Drosophila melanogaster: one gene and its partners. The protein of the gene in region 3 interacts with the protein of the main gene of each other region in a biochemical or structural test. Each region holds a gene or a part of one and is shown on either strand. Other genes may lie near its edges.

Region 1 (7,548 bases), on a different chromosome or scaffold from region 3:
TATCGCTGAATGGAATTTTGCAGGCTCCAATCGATTGAAAGTCAACAAACAAACATTCGTAGTTGCTAGAATTGTCTAGAAATTTGGATAAGATAGCATTGTTTTGTTTTTACCAAGAATAGTTGCTATTTAAGGGTTCTTTTATTAAATTTGTTATGTGATTACTAAAAAATGCACTAAAATAGTATAGTATGCATAGTATAGTATAGGTATTAACTTTTTAAGCATCTTCCAGATTCCAAAATAGTATACTATACATAGTATACTATAGGTATTAATTTTTTAAGCATCTTCCAGATTCTAGGAAATATTTGTGAGCTTCAGATGATCAGTAGACCTCTCCCACATCAGTGAACACCACATCGAGTTGGTCGTTATAAAAAACTCTTTATTCCATACAAGTATTTTATCACAATAACTTAAGCTCTAGATGGGTGGTGAGTGCTGGACGGACACACCCAGGAAAGTACAAAGTAGATGGATTCAATGACAGAAACTACATAAATATTAGGTAGAAGAAGGGACGGTTAGTCGCATGGATTGTGATGTTTGTGTGTGAGTTTGGGTGTGGAGAATGCTGCCTTTGGTTCGCTGGATTGCAGAGCTCGAGGGGAAGCAGCCGCCTTTGGCAACACATCGGTCGCGGAGGACCGATCGCTATCCGGATCGGAATGCGTATGCGGATGCGGAGAGCCCTACATGCCCTCGCAGGTGGACATGCAGTCCTTGTAGCTGGCGAAGTTGTTCTCGTTGCCGTCACAGCCGCCGAACTTGAACTCCACGCACTTCTTCTGCTCCGGATCGTAGCGCCAACGGGGGATCAGGGCGCGGCAGACGCCCTTGCGTGCCGGCATGAGGCAGAACTGCTCCGGATGGGTGTTGCGCCCGGTATTGGCCACATCGTCCAGCGAGATGGCGTCAAAGAAGTCGCTCACGTCGTCGTAGAGGTCCATGGGAAACGCCTCGCTCCATCTGATCCCCGCCAGCAGGATCAGCACCACTGCCACTCCAACGTACTCTTTCAGTTGTCCGCGCATTTTGTGTACTTGATTTAGCTTCGTATTTAATTCACTTGATCACTTGGCGATTGTCTTCACGCAACTGTTGGCGCTGCAGTCCAGCTTTTGGATTTATATGGTGCCACTTTGTAGTCCGAAGCGGGCGAAGGGAAGCGAATACTAGACAATACTCCCATCTAAGAGCCAGCAGAGCTTTCCGTTCGACTCCAACGCTCTTTGGTTACTCTTTCGAAGAGTCCGCTTTTGTACTGAAAATCCAAGTGTAGATATAACTACTTTTGTTTATTTACTGTTGTGAGCATTATCATCGTAAAACATACAACCATATTTTTTGTTTTTGTTATTTTATGGAAAAACAACCTGTTTGATTTTCTATATGGAGTAGACAAATAAATTTTTTCTTAAACTACAAATTTAAAGCTATTTTCCATTGGGTTTCATTGAAATAGTTTTTATATTTCAATTAGAAATATAGAATGCCTATTTCTTAGTTTTGAAATTGAAAATTAAATGTTTTATGGAAAAGATTACTGTTATCACTATTTATGGATTTTTTTAAAATTCCCGCCAATTGCATGCTATCGATATCAGTGGGTGGTGCAATCGGTAATCATATCAGGCATTTACCATTCCTAATTTGTGGTAGTTGGTGAAATCTGGCGCGTCTTTGTTTAAATCGTAAATTATTACATAAATTTAGTTGGGTATGGCACGCGAATCAATTCTAACGTGGATGCGGAGTCTGGGTGAGAAGGCGCGCTTTGATGAGCTGGAACTGCTCATTCAAAACACTCCAATAGAAAAGGTTGGACCCATAAGGCGGAAGGCAATATAAATCTTAATTGATAAACATTGCTTGATAGTTAAAGGAAACCCTTAAATCCACAATGACACGCAGCGAGGGCATAACGTATTGGAACTACCTTCTCCGTGGCTTCAATCCGGAGAGCAAGGATGCGCTAGCCAAGCGATTCGAATGTGTCCGCAGCTTCATGGACGGACTGAGCAGCACGGAACTGAGCTACAAACAGACTTTCGATCTGATCACGCGCCTGTCGCAGGACCTGGCCACCTTTCCGTCCGAGCAGCTGGCCTGGATCGTGGAGCACTGCATGGACGGGATCCGACAAGGAGACGCCAAGTGCGTCGGCTGGAAGGATTTGCTGCCGGACGCGCTGTCGCTGCTTTTGGCCAGACCGCGGTTTCTTCTGAACGGCATATCCATAGATGGAATGGAGTTCAGGGACACTACCGTAAGGAGCATTGCCACCATGCAATGGCCAGCCTCAATCCTCACGCCAATTGCCGACATGTTCAAGTGGGTGACCACCCTTAAATTAACCACAATTTAACCACACAACTCATACAATCCCCCTAGGACCATGAATCTTAGCAGTGGCGAAATTGTGACAGTACTCAACAAATTCTCTGGCGCCCTGCAGGAGCTATCTCCCATGGAACTCCCAGCGCTGTGCTTCCAGCTCTTTTCGATGTGCAGCACTGCTTCCCAGTTGATCATTCCGTTGCTGGCCCTGGAGAAGTATTTCCATCGCAACTACTACAAGCGGCTCTTCTCAGACATGTGTAGCAACTCAACGAACTTGGATAGCATTGGTGAGCCTGCACCATATAGAAGACTATATTCCTAGAAATTGACAGCATCTGATCTTTAGACTTGTTCTCGGACAAGGAACTAAGGGAGGCCGAAGAGACTATCCTGCATCACTTGAACTACTGTACTATGTACAAACTTACTGAAAAACATTTGGCCATAATGCTGAGAGTAAGCAGGTCCCAAATCAATCGATCGCTTAGTAACTTAACTAACCATGTTTCAGAACTTTCTGCACATGCCCGATGTGATCCTAACTCCGTTTATGCTTAGCGCCATTATCTCGATGACCAGCATTAATCGCGATCCAGAGTCCGCTAGAATATCTCATTCCATTTTGCTACCTTTTTTGCGCAATGTGATCAAAAACAACGAGGAAGAGCGAACGTTAGCCGACTACTCCGTGTGGTATCGGGATACATTGCAACGCAAGCAAGTCGATTTGCAGCAGGTCCTCACGGTGCTCATTGATCAGAACAAAGACGGCAAGGATGTGATAACTCCTGGGCTGGTTCATCTCGTATTTTACTTGCTGAAATCGCAATCGCCCAAGATGCACACATTGGCCATCACATTTCTAACCAAGTTCATTCGCAAGCGATTCATTTTTGGACAAGGCATCATAAAGCTTATTTCAGAGTGGATGATAGTATACCAGGAACAAAATCAGTTCTCGGGTAGGTCAAGCAAAATGTTCTTAATAATTCTATGCAACAAGAATACATATTTGCAGAATGCCTCACACTTCTAAGTGTGGCTGATACGTATACGGTCTCCGAGTGCATGAAACCAATTCAATCTGTTTTGGAGCACATGCAATGGGCAAGTTAGTCCAATGGCATAATTGTTCTTTAAGCTAACTCCGTTGTAAATATTTTAGCTGTCTGGTGAGCAGTCCATGCGCATGATGAACTTTATTCTACCTTTGCTAAAGATCTCTAATCGCGTCCGTGATGCGCTAATTGATGTACTTTGCAAAGCAATGAGCTCGAGGTGGGTCTAATTACCTGTTCGTGGTACTGTATTTACTTTTTATTCTGCACTTTATATTTTAGTGGAATTCAAAAACGGCGAATGGCGATTTATGGGTTCTGCATGATCCTCAAACAACTAAACAACAGCAATGCTGTGCGCCAGACCTCCAGCGCCACCAGTTTCTGCACTCAACACAGTATCTCTGGCTACTCCATAATGACCCAGAACACACTGGGAAGTCGTAGTAATCCTCAAAGAAATTTCGACATGCTCACGTTGGAAATTATTGGAATGTTGCGAAACTGCTTGCAACAACAATTCGATATACGGTGCTCCCTGTATGAAAGTGAGTCGAATGAAATCAAATAATACAACTTCTAATAATGCATTTCAAATAGATCTTCAGAGAGCAGTGGAGCTCAATGCTAAACTAGTGCCACATGTGCTGCAAGTCATTGACTGGCACTTTCGCAGCTTCTTCGACACCCCCTCTGCAGAGGATGCTGGTGACGATCTAGACACAGTATTCCGCATTCGCTACGATCAATTGGTTAGCTCTAGCGATGATCAACACATGGAGATTCAGCTTAAAGACAACCTGGGCAAGTTGATTCAGTTCGTGGCCAACTGCTTGGCTGTTTTCGATCGAGCTCCATCGGGCTACGACACTCGTGAGATGAATCGGCTCATGAGTTTCTGTGTGGATCGTATGGTGGCAAACAGATTACCCCTGGAAGAGATAGTGAGCAAGATTATTACTTTTAAATTTCAATAAACTAATGCCAACTGATTTCAGACGCCGCCAGCCACACATCTAAAATGTGCCCTCGTTCTGCAGCAACTGAATATCATTGAAGGAATTATTTGCCACTTATTGCTCAAATCCAAGCCACAAAACAATGCTGTTTGTCAAATATTGCCTCTTTTTAATCAGCATTGTAAGCTTTTGGAGAGTCTTAAGGCATTATCGGATGCATCCAAGAAAGCCCATAAACAGTTGAAGCAAACCGCCAAGAATAATAGCACATCAACGTGCAATTTGACACTGAACGGCGTCCCGGTGAAGACCATGTGTACACAGCCTGATAATATTTGGGACTTGGCCATATTGGATAAGCTGCTCCATCTACTTCTTGAGTTAGTAACCTTGACGTTAATCCTTTCTACTTCTTAAAACTGTTTTCAATTTTCCATTTAGTGACGTCGTAGCCTTTGCTGCTCCAGAAAAAACAGTGCTCTTGCGCTCCAACGAGCCCCTCGTCCGGTATGTTTTATCCGTAACGGCCAGCAGAGTGGAGTCTATACGCCTGGAGCCCGATTATAAGCAGTTGGCCTACAGTAAACGCACCTTTAAGCAATTGACGGACATTACAAAGGTCATTTACGAGCGCTGCATTCAACGCTTGCCGGAGCTGTGGAAAAATTTCGACATGCAGAGCGCCGCCCTAGCCACTCAGTGTTTTTCTGAATGCCTAAAAACAGCTCATGAAACGTACTCAAAGAAGTTCGAAGATTTTGTCAAGTCATTTGGTAAGTTAAGTCATGCTAAGTATATGAGGATAATCTAAACTATGGTAAAACTTTTAGATTTGGCATCTATAAAGGGAAGCAGAAACAAGGAAGTGGTTTACACAATTCAGGATGTTTTAGACGACTTTATGACGGAGTACGGCACTGATGATTCGATTTGTAAAAATGAGTTCGTTTCCAAATTGCCTGTTTACCTCTTGGAGTCGCTTGAAATTCTTTTGGATCACATTGACTACCAGGATCGTGCTGCCACCGAATCGTACACTTGGCTGCTAAATTTTTGCAGCAAAAACGAGATTCTCAACAGTGAAATGGGCCTGGTGCACAGAATGCTATTCGTTCAGCGTCAAAAGACCCACTTAGGTCCCTTCTTCGACAGTGTTGCTCGGCAATTGGGTCACGTACTGGGCGTACAAAATGAAGACGCTCCCTCAGAATCTGTGGAGCTAACTCTAAAGTCCATAAGTACAGTGACCATCGAGAGTTGCCTACAGCATCTGTATGCTGCCATCCAAAAGCAGCTGAACGATGTGGACTACTTTGTGACGAAAGCCAACAATCTAAACTACAAATGCCAAGTGGTTCCCGAAATTGACCAGATATATTGGCGGGGCAACCTGGATTCCATGGATCGTTCCATTTGCACACAAATAATCCACATAAGTCGCACTTTGCTGGTGCTCACAAACGTTTGTATTCCTCTAGGTTCTTTGATGGACGGTCTTATGAAGTTGTTGATTCAGCACTACACTTGTTTGAAAAGCCTGACCAAGCACTACATATCGAGCTACACATCAGATACGTCCATTGAGAACATTAAAAGCACCAAGTGAGTCCATCTAGTCGTAGATTTAATGGATATCTAATCTGCATTTTATTCTCCAACAGATTTGAACTTCTGCTACGTGCAGTTGGTAAACAACTTCCGGCGAATATTTACGAGCTCATCACGTACATAGAAGCTAATACCCTGGATGAGGAAGCGCAGCAGCATACAAAAAAGCGGAAGGTCCAGGCAGAACGTGCTAAAGTTCTGAGAGAGACTCGGCTAATTCCCAAGGTTATAATGGTTATCGAGGACTTCAATAAGCACATTATTCTCCTGTCCAAAAAGACCAAAAGCAAGAATAGACTTACGGACTACCTCCACTTGGGAACCATGCGCGACTTCGATATCAAGTCGACGGATTTGAGGGCAGCTATAGAGCGTAGTATCTCGGATGGCCGCAACATTTCTACCGAAGACAGTAATGCTGAGGATCGGGATGAGGATGAGGATGAAAATGAGAATGTAGAGGAAGACGATGACGCACAGTCCACCACGTATCCAGAGGACTTGGAGGAGAAGGAAGATGAATGCTTAGTCATAGAGAAGAAGGAAGAAAGGCGCAGGAGGCGTGCACCTAGCAGTGAAGCAGAGGATCCACAACCCAAACGAAAAAGAGGCCGCAAAGCTGCAGAACAGCTGGAAGCTGAAGATGAAGAGCAAGTCGAGGAAGAGCAGCCTGAAACGACTTTAAAATTAAGGCGAAACAAAAAAGTGGAGCCAAAAACCAAAAGGAGTGTGGCCATTAAAAAACCCGAGGAGCAGCCATCCCATGAGAGTCGTACCAGTAAAAGGTCAAAAGGTCCAGCGGATAAGCAAACAGCGGAGCCAGCCAAAGTGGATCTTTGCGTTCCCGAAGTGCCCGCTGAGAAGAAGAAACCACAACCTAGTCGTAGACTGGGAATACCTCGTACATTAAGGAAATGATGTTTTGTTAAAAAAAAGTATATTAAAAAGTATATGTATTTAAATCATGCCAGTCCATTGCTTATTCAAAAATGGTTGCGATTATCGCAATTACTTAATTTTCATTATGTGCTGTATTGCTGTTTTCTAGAATTTCCACATGTTCAAAAAGAAAAATTGTTCAATGTTTTTGTGAATCTTGTTCATTTAATATCATTGGAATTTTAGCTACCTAATCTCTGTAAATTAAAAGGCTGCTTCCCATTATTTATTAGTACTGCAAATAAAAAATATATATAAGTATATTCATAAGCGAAACTTGATAAATTAAACAATGTACTCACTTGCAGCGTGTGCCCATGTCCAGAAACAATAACACTTCCGTCATTGCCCACCGAGACAGTTCGTCCATCCGGACGCTTCCACACCGACACACTATCATCCCAAATTCCTGCTTGATCGTCACGAGCCACGAAGTTTTCTCCCTGGACGCGGCCATCTTTGATGCTGCGGCTGTCCCTTTCAACAATCAGTCCTTCAAAGCCCTTTGCCAAGGTCGCTCCACAGGAAACTGGGGACTACGCCTGCCCCTTTGGACAAAAAATCCTCCGGAACCCACATCCACAGTGCGACCAGGACGCTCCACATGGAACTGAGGACTACGTCTGCTCCTTTGGACG
Region 2 (7,791 bases), about 11 Mb from region 3:
ACCTTACGACGAATTGTTACATTGTACATTCTATTACAAGTTTTCTGCAGTATAATGACCATTTTGTCAAAATTTCAAATAATTTTCTAAATATATAACCCTGATATGTGTAATAAAGTCTTCAAGTTGTGTTGGACATTAGACCAATTGGTAAACCCATTCCTTAGATTAAATTATTTTCCTTTAAAGGGAGAATGGATATTAAATAACACAGAAAATTTACTTGTAGGGCTGCCATGCAGTCTGGCGGACGACCCCGCGAGCGATTGCTGTACGCCTTCCGGGGATGGATAGCATTCGTGGCCTTCATGGACCTGGGCACGGCCTTTAGGAGCTACATAGAAAGACGCAGCTTCCTGGGCGATCACAGCGACACCCAGTTCATAGAGGGTAAGTGGGGATGGATTGAGCTGCTGGAGTCGCATTTGATGGGTTCTTTCACAGGGGACTACACCATATCGCGGATCATCGGGATGTACTGCCTGCTGAAGGCCATCGCTCTCGTCCACTGCACCCTCTACATTCACTACAAGCCGTAAGTGAATCCCATATATCCTCTGGTTAGATTATCGTCACTAATGGGGATATTTCCCTACGTTTAGGGTGGTCAGCATGGGCGGCTGCTCATTGGCCCTCACCATGGTCTTCTATGCCACCGAGGCACTCTACTTTCGCTCCAGCACCATTAACTTCTACGTGATCTTCCCGTGTGTGCTAAATTGTAAGTAAACACAACTAAAATTCAGTAATAACAAATTATATCTTTTTTGTAACACCCCGAACCATTTAGTAAATTGAATCTTTCGCCTTTTTAGCTATAACTCTACTGGGCCTCATCTATATACCCAAACGACTGCGGCTCTGGGAGCCAAATATGGATCTGGATGACGAAAACTCACAGCTGCTCAAGCAAATGACGGGCTTCAAGAGACGACGAGCGAAAAAACAATAGTTTATTACTATCTAGAAATATGAAAAGCAATAACCGGAAGACACTGAGTTGAGTTTCCGTTAGCACAGTATTGTGAAAGAATCGCAAATTTCGCTTTGGACTGCATTGGTGTGATAGAATCGGCATCATGTTCATCATTATATATACTCAATAGCAATACTGAAAACAACGCCAAATTAGTGATTTTCTATGAACTAGGTAGTGAAGGGTCTAAATGGCCCCGGAATAAGTCAATTTCTGGCATAATCACTTCAAGACATACATATGTTGTACTTCCTTTTTATAAAGCGTATTTATATACATTTAAAAATGTATGGCACAATAGAGTTTTTGCACTTTTAAGAGTTGAAAATCGATACTAGGAAATATTTATCTAATTATCAGAGACATCTAGCACCCGAGTTAAATAATTAAAATCGAAAGGCTTTAAATTAACAAATAAGCTCATAATCATCTTATTTACATATACGATTATCAATTTATGGATCATGCTTCCGTATCGATCATAAAATTAAGGAACATTTTATAGTCATTACGTATGATTGAATGTTATGTAAACCTAAAAAAAAGAAAATACAATAATAGTTTTGTACGAATTATGTAGATTATGTTTCAATAAAAATTTGAATTGACGAAAGTGGATTTTTATTTAGACTTCTACACACAGTGCTCTAAAGGTCGTTTCTTCATTTATTTTGTTAGATTTTAATTAGTAATGTTAAAAAAAAATAAGTATTTCTATAAGAGTTGAATTATTAGTTAATTTTTATAATCATTTGAAAATCGTAAAATTTGTATAAGAATTGTTACGATATTCGTTATTGCGCTTAGCGAATTCACGAACCTCGACCACCGCGGCTATCGATAAAAACTGATGTCAATGCTCGGTCACACTGCACCTGCATACGCGCCATTAAATTGTTTTGTTTTTATTATTTTGTGATTTAAGATTGAAGATTGAAGCTTATAAAGCTTTCCAGTACTATGTATAAACAATTTAAAAAACGCTCAAAGAAACCTCTGAACACCATCGATGAGAACGCGACCATAAAAGTGCCGGTAAGTGGACATTCGGACCAGTCGGAATTTGGAACTCCATTTACTTGACCAAAATCTGTGTTTCAGCGCCTGGCGGAGACGACCACAAATATATCCGTTGAGTCCTCATCTGGCGGAAGCGAGGAGAACATACCCGCCTCCCAGGAGCACACGCAGCGATTTCTGTCGCAGCACAGTGTTATCCTGGCCGCCACTCTGGGTCGCACTCAATCCTCCAGCCGGAACATTGCAACGCTCTCCCGACAACCGAACAACTTTTTCGAACTGGTCCTGGTTCGAGCAGGGGTCCAGTTGGACCAGGGTGATAGCCTCATCCTGGCCTGCGATCATGTCCCCATAGTCTCCAAGCTGCGGGAAATCTTTACGAGTGCCTCCTCGTATACCGACAAAATGGAGACATTCAAGACGGGTCTGAATGCTGCAATGGCGCCTGGGTCGAAGCTGGTGCAGAAGCTCCTAACCGGCTGCACCGTGGACGCAGCTGGCGAGGAACAGATCTACCAGTCCCAGAACAGCATGTTTATGAACTTCCTCATGATCGACTTTATGCGAGATGCCTGCGTGGAGGTGCTGCTGAACAAGATCGAGGAGGTGGCCAAATCTGATCGAGTCATAATGGGCAAAGCAGCTATTCCCTTGCCACTGCTACCGCTGATGCTGACGCAACTGCGCTACTTGACCGCCTCGCACAAAGTAGAGATCTACAGTCGCATCGAGGTCATTTTCAACAGGGCTACGGAATCGGCCAAATTGGACATCATAGCCAATGCTGAGTTGATACTCGATGCCAGTATGCACGATGAGTTCGTCGAGCTGCTTAAGTAAGTAAAATTATTTAAAGCAGAGCAGAAGAATTTGTGTACTCGCTCGCTCTATGGACTATCTACGTTCTTTCTTACTAATCGTATAATTTAATTTCGTGGCAGCATCAACTATTCCAGCACTGAAGACCTCTTTCACATGACCACAGTGCAAACTCTGGGTAACTTATCGCTTTCAGACAGAACGCAGGCCAAGTTACGAGTGCGCATTTTGGACTTCGCCACAAGTGGTCAATGTTCGGATGCGGTAATTTGAAAATTAGACCGATTCTAGAATTCTATTTAAATGTTTTGTTATCTTAGATCTTGCCGCATCTCATCAGGCTGCTGCTTAACGTTCTGAAAATTGATACAGATGACAGCGTGCGCGACGTAAGGTTCTTACTCCGTTCCCTAAGCATTCGGTTTCAGTTCGTTCATTTGCAGTTGATAGGCAGCCTGCGTGGAATCTTCAACTGGCGTCACACAAATGAGACGGAAAAAATCTCGGCAAGCGAAGACAGTAAGAAGTCTCAGCTGGAACTTTTTGGCTTCCTAGAACTAGGCTTGATACGATCGAAGAAGTTTTATCAAGCGTGCCAAAGGTCATCTGCTAGTGTGCCAGCTGCCGAATTTACGTGAGTACATAGACTGGCCTATACGAATTCAAGTTTAAATAATTACATATTTGCAGCTCCTTTGACATGATACTTCTGCTTTTGTTGATACATGTTAATGAAGATAATTCATTGTACATCGAAAATATTGTAAGTATTCCTTAAAAAATAAAAAAAAAAATAAATTCATTACATTTTACTAATTCGTCAGCTTCGACGACGCATTAAACTGGAGCATATTACAGTGAGCATTTTGGAAGAGATACGACAGCACTATAGACACATCCTGGAGCAGCACATAACCACACTGATGAACATCCTTCACGACTTTATGCGAGAGAAAAATCGCATCGTGTCCGATTTCGCCAAATCTTCGTACAGGTGTGGTTACCTAAAGAACCCTAAAGAAAAATCATATTAATTTCTACTTTGTTTTTTTTTTTTGCAGTATACTTTTTAAGATTTTTAACTCGATCCAGAAAAATATTCTAAAGAAGCTGTTGGAGCTTACCTGTGACAAATCATCGCCCCACCTGACAACAATGGCACTGGAATTGCTTCGCGAGCTGCAACGAAAGAGTGCCAAGGATGTTCAGAATTGTGCAACTCTACTTATACCCATGCTGGATAGGATAAGTGATCTAAGTCTTACACAAACCCGCGTTGCTATGGACCTTCTGTGCCATGTCGCATTTCCGGATCCAAATCTATCGCCCTGCCTGCAACTCCAAGAGCAAGTCGATATGGTGGTTAAAAAGCAGCTGATCAACTCCATTGATAATATTAAAAAGCAGGGAATTATTGGCTGTGTGCAACTCATCGATGCAATGGCACGCATCGCGAACAATGGTGTTGATCGTGACGAGTTTATTGCCAGCGTGGAAAACGTCGATTCCTTGCCCGATGGCCGAGGCAAAATGGCTGCCAACTTAATCAGTAATTAAGTGCCTGACATACTTAAACGTGTATATTAATATTTTTTCCATGCAGTACGCACCGAGGCATCAATAGGAAATAGTACCGAGTCCTTAGCCCTGTTTTTTGAAGAACTGGCCACGGTTTTCAATCAGCGCAATGAAGGAACCTCCGGCTGTGAGTTGGACAACCAATTCATTGCTTGGGCCTGCGACTTAGTGACATTCCGCTTCCAGGCAAGCTTTGTCACCGAGAATGTGCCCGAGACTTTAAAGTATGTACTGACTTTTTTAAACAAGTATGTCGCTAATCAAATTTGCTTTTAAGGGGAATTAAACTGGAATATCAGTTAAATATCAATGAATTGGACGATACAGATGCAAACACTGAATCGGATGTCCTTAATATTGGCATAAATATCTCAAAACTAGTTTTATCACCCAAAGTGAAGTGAGTTTCTTATCTCATGAGTTTCATAAAGCTTTTGTATTTTAACGTACCCATTTACAGAGCTTGTGATTCTATATACGTGCTGGCTCCTCTGTTCAACTATGTCAGAGTGCTGTACAAGCACCGCCACCAAGACAGCTTGGAGAGCATCAATGCTTTACTAGGCTGTGCCATTGTGTTGCCCTCATTCTTTGAGGATGACAACTATGTGTCCGTTTTTGAAAACTTTGAGGCGGAGCAGCAAAAAGACATTTTGAGCATTTACTTTCACACCGTCAATTGGATGAGGGTGTCGATCAGTGCGTTTGCATCACAACGTGATCCTCCCACACGGCGTCGAGTTCTATCTAGACTTGGAGAACTAATTCGTATCGAGCAGAGAATGAAGCCCCTCCTGGCGAGAGCGCCCGTCGACTTCGTGGCACCGCCATATCAATTCCTCACCAACGTCAAGCTCTCGAACCAGAATCAGAAACGTCCAGGGCCTAAGCCAGCTGCCAAACTAAACGCAACTCTACCAGAACCCGATTTAACTGGTAATCAACCATCGATCGCTGACTTCACCATTAAGGTTGGCCAGTGCAAGACCGTTAAGACGAAGACTGACTTTGAGCAGATGTATGGGCCGCGGGAGAGATACAGGCCAATGGAAGTGGAAATCATCATGCTCTTGGTCGAGCAGAAGTTTGTCCTGAACCACCAGCTGGAAGAGGAGCAAATGGGGGAGTTTCTTGGTCTTCTGGAGCTACGATTCCTGCTGGAAGACGTGGTTCAAAAACTTGAAGCAGCAGTCCTTCGACATCACGATTCTTATGATGCGGACAGCTTTAGGCCGCATCTGGCCAAACCGGAGGATTTTATTTGCGATCTACTTCCATGCCTACACGAGGTGAATAATCACCTAATAACCCTGGGCGAGGCCATTGACAATCAGCTTACGGAAGTCAGTCATGTGTACAGCAATCTGGATCTGTTTAAGGATCAATTTTGCTATATCAAATCGTGCTTTGGGCTGTGCGTCCGGCTGTTTGCCTTGTACTTCGCCTGGAGCGAGTGGAGTGATAAGTCGCAGGAACAACTGCTCCATAGTAAGGTGTTTTAAATTTTACGCAAACCTTAAAATGTAACGTTACTATTTTTGCAGAGTCTTTGCTTAAGCTACAGCCTAAAACACAATGGAAGAGACTAGAGAAGCAAAGTGTTCCTCAGCTGGCCAACCTAACTTTTCAATACTTTCTAAAGTATGAGAAATCCGTCCTGAATCTTAGTACTGCAGTACATCTTCATCGATTGTTGTGTAACTTGTTAAAGCTGGGCAGTTTACAGAGCGATGCTAGCCAACCGAGATTTCAGCAAGCCGAGGACTTACGTAAGCACTAACCATGAAATATGAAGTGCAATTTTAGAATTTATTACTCATGCAGGGATACTGTGTGGCACGCTGCTGCGCCGTAAATGGTTCCACTACTCTGGCACCTTGGACAAAGGTGGTCAGTGCAATATTTATTTGGACGAGCTGGTTAAGGGATTCCTGAAAAAATCGAATGCCAAGAGTCAAACCGAACTACTTACTGAGCTGGTTAAACAATGCAGCATACTGAATACGAAGGACAAAGCACTGACATCCTTCCCCAACTTTAAAAAGTAAGAAAATCAGTTGATCCGTATTTTGTATGTTTTATTAATTCTTTCCCCTCATAGGGCCAACTTCCCACTACTCTTTCGTGGACTGTGCGAGGTGCTTATTCACTCCCTAAGTGGTCAAGTTAGCGTCGACAGCCGTGGTGATAAATTGAAGTTATGGGAGTCAGCAGTCGATTTGTTGAATGGCTTGCTCAGCATTGTGCAGCAGGTGGAACAGCCCAGAAACTTTGGGCTGTTTCTAAAACACTCCCTGCTATTCCTTAAATTGCTGCTTCAGCACGGAATGTCTGCGCTGGAATCTATTGTTCGGGAAGATCCCGAAAGGCTAACAAGGTTTTTGCACGAGCTCCAGAAGGTGACACGCTTTCTGCACCAACTCTGCTGTCATTCCAAGTCCATTAAGAATACGGCTATAATCAGCTATATTCCCAGCCTGCGGGAAACGATTGAGACGCTGGTCTTCCGAGTCAAAGCCCTGTTGGCTGCCAACAACTGTCATTCTGCTTTCCACATGGGAAATATGATCAACAGGGATCTCCACGGAGATTCTATCATAACACCCAGGAGTTCCTTCGCCGGCGAGGAAAACAGCGACGATGAATTACCTGCGGACGACACCAGCGTAGATGAAACCGTCTTGGGCGATGACATGGGCATCACCGCCGTTAGCGTGAGCACAAGGCCCAGCGATGGGAGTCGTCGGAGCAAGTCCTCCTCCCGCAGCAAATGCTTTTAAATAGCGTAATACGACTAATAAGAATTTCAAATAAATCAGTGACGTTGACGCAGAGTCATGGCGTTTTATTTGTTTAGTAGTCTAGAATTGAGCAGACGACGATGTTTGCATTCTTTATTTATTTCATTTTATTATCTGGATGCAATTTTATTTAATTTTCGTATTACAAATAATAACAAATGTATGTATATCAAATATTTTAGTACAATATGCTTCATTTCATTTATTTTCTTCGTTAACAATAATTGTTTATTAAGACGTAAAAGTTGTTCTCCCATTTTTCTCACATTCGGCCTTCCTCTACGATGAACTCTGATTGTTTATTTTTATTATTTAATTTCCATTTGTTTTTATCTCGTAATAATTGGCGACGTTACGTTCACGGTTTATGAATCCCTTTCATACGTGTGGTATGTGTATGCAAATGTTTTGTGATGTTGTATATCAATTGGTTGTTTATAAAAGGGGGTTTAAAATCAAATCAATCAAGTATAATTGTATAGGTATATGTAATTAAAAGAGCAAGAAAACACACACAAACTATAAATTTAAAGTAAAACATAAATGGTCTACGAAAGTTAATCCTAACGTGTGTGCAAGTATGCCTGAAACAGACAG
Region 3 (3,613 bases):
TCGGTGCAAAAAGGAACGTCACAAATGACTGTATATAAATAAATACGCTTGAATATCTAATCGGCGGTGCCCAGAAATGTGTTAATCTTCAGCCTGATTGTGCACTGAGTACACTGGAATTCGTGACGTAGCCAAGGTAAACAAATGGTCTTATCTGTGCAAGAGTTTTGTGGTTTATTATTTGGCAAACAAGTGGAAATATTCAGTCGGCCGAAACGGCTGGAGTTGCGTACATCGTCGGCTTAAAGGGGGTTCGTCCAGTCCAACAGATATCCGTCCATCTGTGCTGCAGTGGCTCCCTTCCGGATTTTACAGCTCACGACGAAGCAGGTGATCGGTTCGTTCTGCGCATCGTTCAACGTGACAGTGACATCCGCCGTTATTTCCGGGAACGAAGGCTCCACATAGAAGTTGAACTGATACGTGACATCCTCGTCCTTGTCGATGGGACAGATGGCACCGTACAGGAGATTGCGGCACACATCGGACACTTCGTCGGGTAGGGCATATGGCAGATTCATGCCCAAAACCTTTGCCGTTGTGGTGGCCGTAATGCTCTTGATATTGTTGTTATCTGCAAGACATCGATGATGAGATTCAAGTGGACACGGATATAGATGGCCGAAACTTACTGCCCAGGAAGTGCACCTCCATGACTGCTATGGTTCCTTTGTACACAACGCACGGCGGTTCCTCGCAATCCTTAATATTCACATCCAGTGGAAACGGCTTATTTTTGCCTGAAAGCGGAAATATGTTTTCGAAGAATCAAAAGGTGAGCTCAAAAGAAGGCTATGTTTTTTTTTCTAAGAGATTAGCTGTTTGTTGATAAGCCATATCAACCTGGCCAACAGATACACGTTAGGACTTTAAATTTCTCTCAGAACGTATTTTTGGCAATAGTTTTCGAGACAAAGTCTGCGAAGTGAATCATCGTCATAGAAATCTGTTAGAATCATGAATCCAATCTAACAAACTGGTCGATTTAAAATGATTTGATGTTTTTCCAACAAAATAAAAGAGTTTTTAGCTACTTACACTGCTGGACATTGGTGGCATTGACTGTGGCCAGAATTAGAGCCAAAGTTACAACGATTCGCAGCATTTTTCTGGATGGAATCTTTTTTAATCTTACTTCAGAAGAATACAATATACATTGAGTACGCGCGCACGCAGATGACAATCGTGAGTGGAATCGATGGGGCTGGTGGAGAACCTTAAATAGCCCCGTGTTCGAACGATGACCAACGCCTGTAGAGAGCAGTTTATCAAAATCGGTGGCTATTGCCATTGATACGGGGCCGCCACGCAGGTGTTACAAAAGAAAACCACTGTGGCCTGCAGGTGTTGCGCTCTGACGAAGAGCAAACAATGCCGATTCGAATCAGTAAATAACGTAAATTTGGCTGATAAGTAGGGAGAGGCTGAACTACAATGTTGCCGGCTATACCTAGTAAACAAAACAGCCAGAGGGTGAATATGTAAGCAAGGCGGAATATTGGCTCGAAGGGTTAATAAACATATAATTTAAGGTTTGATCGAGCAATCAAATTTAAAAAAGCGGCCGATTAATTTCCTATCGATCGTGATTGAAGACTTTGTGTCATCGAAGACTGCACATCTCTAACTATGGCCGTTCAAAACATAAAATGTAAACAAAAGTCATTCAAGCACAATCTGACCAAAATCAAATATAATGGAAAGTAACGAAGATGTAGAGCGCCTTCTGTGTCAAAAGTATCCTGGTCTGGCAGCGGAGCTTCAGCCAAGTGGAGCGTGCATCATCAGAGGAGTTTTGGGCAGTGAGGTAAGTTATCCGTATTTCAATTTTTCCCGCCAAACTAATAATGATTGTATAATTAAGGATACATGGCGCCGCCTTAAACTCTATCTGCCACACCACCCAGCTCTTCATGGTTTCCAGCTCTACGTCCAGGAAAGCTTGGAGTACAAGCTGTACACATCGGCTAATCTCAAGTTACAGGACGATTGGCTGCTGGAGGATTTTCTGGACCATTTGCCAAAGATTCTTCCTGCCCAAAAAGCCCCAACAGTGCCAAAGGAACTATGTCGGGAGGGGAACATATATTACGATATCCTGGCCTTGTACAAGTCAAACGAGTACTGCCTGCAAGTGGACGAGGCCTGTTCCATGATTCGTTTCAGCGAATTCACCGACTTCGAGCAGCATTATCTGGAGCTTAAGATCCCGTCTCTTCTCTTGCTTGATCACAGTTTGCCCGACTGCGTATCGCTGGGTGAAATGCTGACCAAGAGTGCTGGAAACCTAGAGGAGGCCCTAAACCTCTTTCGCAAGCTTCTCGAGGATCTGCGTCCCTTCTACGACAACTTCATGGATATCGACGAGCTTTGTCATGTGCTGCAACCATCGCCCATCAGCAGCAAACACAAAACACGACTGTTCCCTCTCAAGGATCGCGTCTACTTGAAGCTGACCATCGCGGATCCCTTTGCCTGCATTGCATCCATGTCGCTAAAGATCATTGGGCCCACGGAAGAGGTGGCCCGCCTGCGCCACGTTCTCAGCGATGGTCTAAGTAACTGGGACTCCGAAATGAACATTCACAAGAACCTACTCCGAATGTTCGACTTGTGCTACTTTCCCATGCCAGACTGGTCGGATGGACCCAAGCTGGATGAAGAGGACAACGAAGAGCTGCGCTGTAACATTTGCTTTGCCTATCGCCTGGATGGTGGCGAGGTGCCCCTCGTCTCCTGCGACAATGCCAAATGTGTGCTAAAGTGCCATGCCGTCTGTTTGGAGGAGTGGTTTAAGACTCTGATGGATGGCAAGACCTTTCTGGAGGTCTCCTTCGGCCAGTGTCCCTTCTGCAAGGCGGTAATATTGCCTATCATTTCATCTATTGCCAATGTACAACTGCTTTATCTTTTTCAGAAGCTGTCCACCTCATTTGCGGCACTTTTAAATGATTGAAATTTGTAACCATAATATTAAAAGCAAATATTTAAGAGTAACTTATTATTCAAATAATCGTAAATATCAATTAGGTTTACATCCACGCCATCAAACGCCGTGTGTTTTTGCTAAAAGTAGTTGTGAAACGAATTAAACAGGTCCCACCTGATGGACCGCATCATTCTCCTGACGACGCCAGCAGCAGAGTTGACATCTGAAAAATCGCTTCACAACGCGCCAGCCTCATTCCATATCGCTTGAGATCATCCGCATCATATTCCGCACCACATAGGTGGTTCCATTGAAGGGCGAGTACTCGCTGGCTTTTCCAATCCGCACGCTGGAGCCGGCCAAACCGAAAAACACCTTGGGTGTTAGGTTGGGATGCACGGCCTTGAACTCCCACCCGACGTGCTGGGCGCAGAACTTGCACAGAATAATGTGCCACTGATAGCCGGGGAACCAGCTAAACTTTGTGGACGGCTCGCCGCTGTAGCCGATGGCATGGGATATCACCCGGTACACGGTGTTTGTCTCGTGGATGTAGCCCTCTGTAAAGTAGTTAGTTTCAGTGAATTCATTGCTTATAGAAGACGGACATTGGACTTCTCCTTATGCTTACCTGGATTGCAATACTGTGTCTGCACACCGTGTTTGGACATGGCAAAGAGATCC

Evidence for each region.
Region 1: the proteins of Fancl (region 3) and FANCI form a complex in vitro, tested with the Drosophila melanogaster proteins (one study listed by BioGRID).
Region 2: the proteins of Fancl (region 3) and Fancd2 form a complex in vitro, tested with the Drosophila melanogaster proteins (one study listed by BioGRID).

The regions. Positions count from the first base shown.
Region 1 is NT_033778.4:8,933,958-8,941,505, reverse strand, and holds FANCI (fanconi anemia complementation group I), read left to right. Parts: upstream 1-1,716; 5' UTR 1,717-1,752; coding exon 1,753-1,824; intron 1,825-1,882; coding exon 1,883-2,337; intron 2,338-2,397; coding exon 2,398-2,633; intron 2,634-2,692; coding exon 2,693-2,802; intron 2,803-2,857; coding exon 2,858-3,308; intron 3,309-3,364; coding exon 3,365-3,453; intron 3,454-3,511; coding exon 3,512-3,624; intron 3,625-3,686; coding exon 3,687-3,952; intron 3,953-4,004; coding exon 4,005-4,348; intron 4,349-4,402; coding exon 4,403-4,743; intron 4,744-4,804; coding exon 4,805-5,136; intron 5,137-5,193; coding exon 5,194-5,965; intron 5,966-6,024; coding exon 6,025-6,889; 3' UTR 6,890-6,930; downstream 6,931-7,548. Other genes in the region: CG13748 (uncharacterized protein), read right to left, coding at 696-1,037.
Region 2 is NT_033777.3:20,810,239-20,818,029, reverse strand, and holds Fancd2 (Fancd2), read left to right. Parts: upstream 1-1,839; 5' UTR 1,840-1,936; coding exon 1,937-2,011; intron 2,012-2,077; coding exon 2,078-2,832; intron 2,833-2,937; coding exon 2,938-3,079; intron 3,080-3,135; coding exon 3,136-3,204; intron 3,205-3,258; coding exon 3,259-3,449; intron 3,450-3,505; coding exon 3,506-3,578; intron 3,579-3,639; coding exon 3,640-3,809; intron 3,810-3,876; coding exon 3,877-4,364; intron 4,365-4,418; coding exon 4,419-4,617; intron 4,618-4,670; coding exon 4,671-4,793; intron 4,794-4,853; coding exon 4,854-5,881; intron 5,882-5,937; coding exon 5,938-6,162; intron 6,163-6,217; coding exon 6,218-6,437; intron 6,438-6,494; coding exon 6,495-7,173; 3' UTR 7,174-7,226; downstream 7,227-7,791. Other genes in the region: CG17270 (uncharacterized protein), read left to right, coding at 230-390, 445-535, 603-721, 816-952. UniProt on the Drosophila melanogaster protein: Required for maintenance of chromosomal stability. Together with Fancl, and probably Fanci, involved in DNA repair of damage caused by agents that induce interstrand cross-links but not agents that cause double strand breaks.
Region 3 is NT_033777.3:10,050,890-10,054,502, reverse strand, and holds Fancl (fancl), read left to right. Parts: upstream 1-1,633; 5' UTR 1,634-1,696; coding exon 1,697-1,807; intron 1,808-1,864; coding exon 1,865-2,860; intron 2,861-2,917; coding exon 2,918-2,956; 3' UTR 2,957-2,995; downstream 2,996-3,613. Other genes in the region: Npc2e (Niemann-Pick type C-2e), read right to left, coding at 243-574, 633-740, 1,039-1,105; ohgt (ohgata), read right to left, coding at 3,182-3,489, 3,561-3,613. UniProt on the Drosophila melanogaster protein: Ubiquitin ligase protein that mediates monoubiquitination of Fancd2. Ubiquitination of Fancd2 is stimulated by ionising radiation.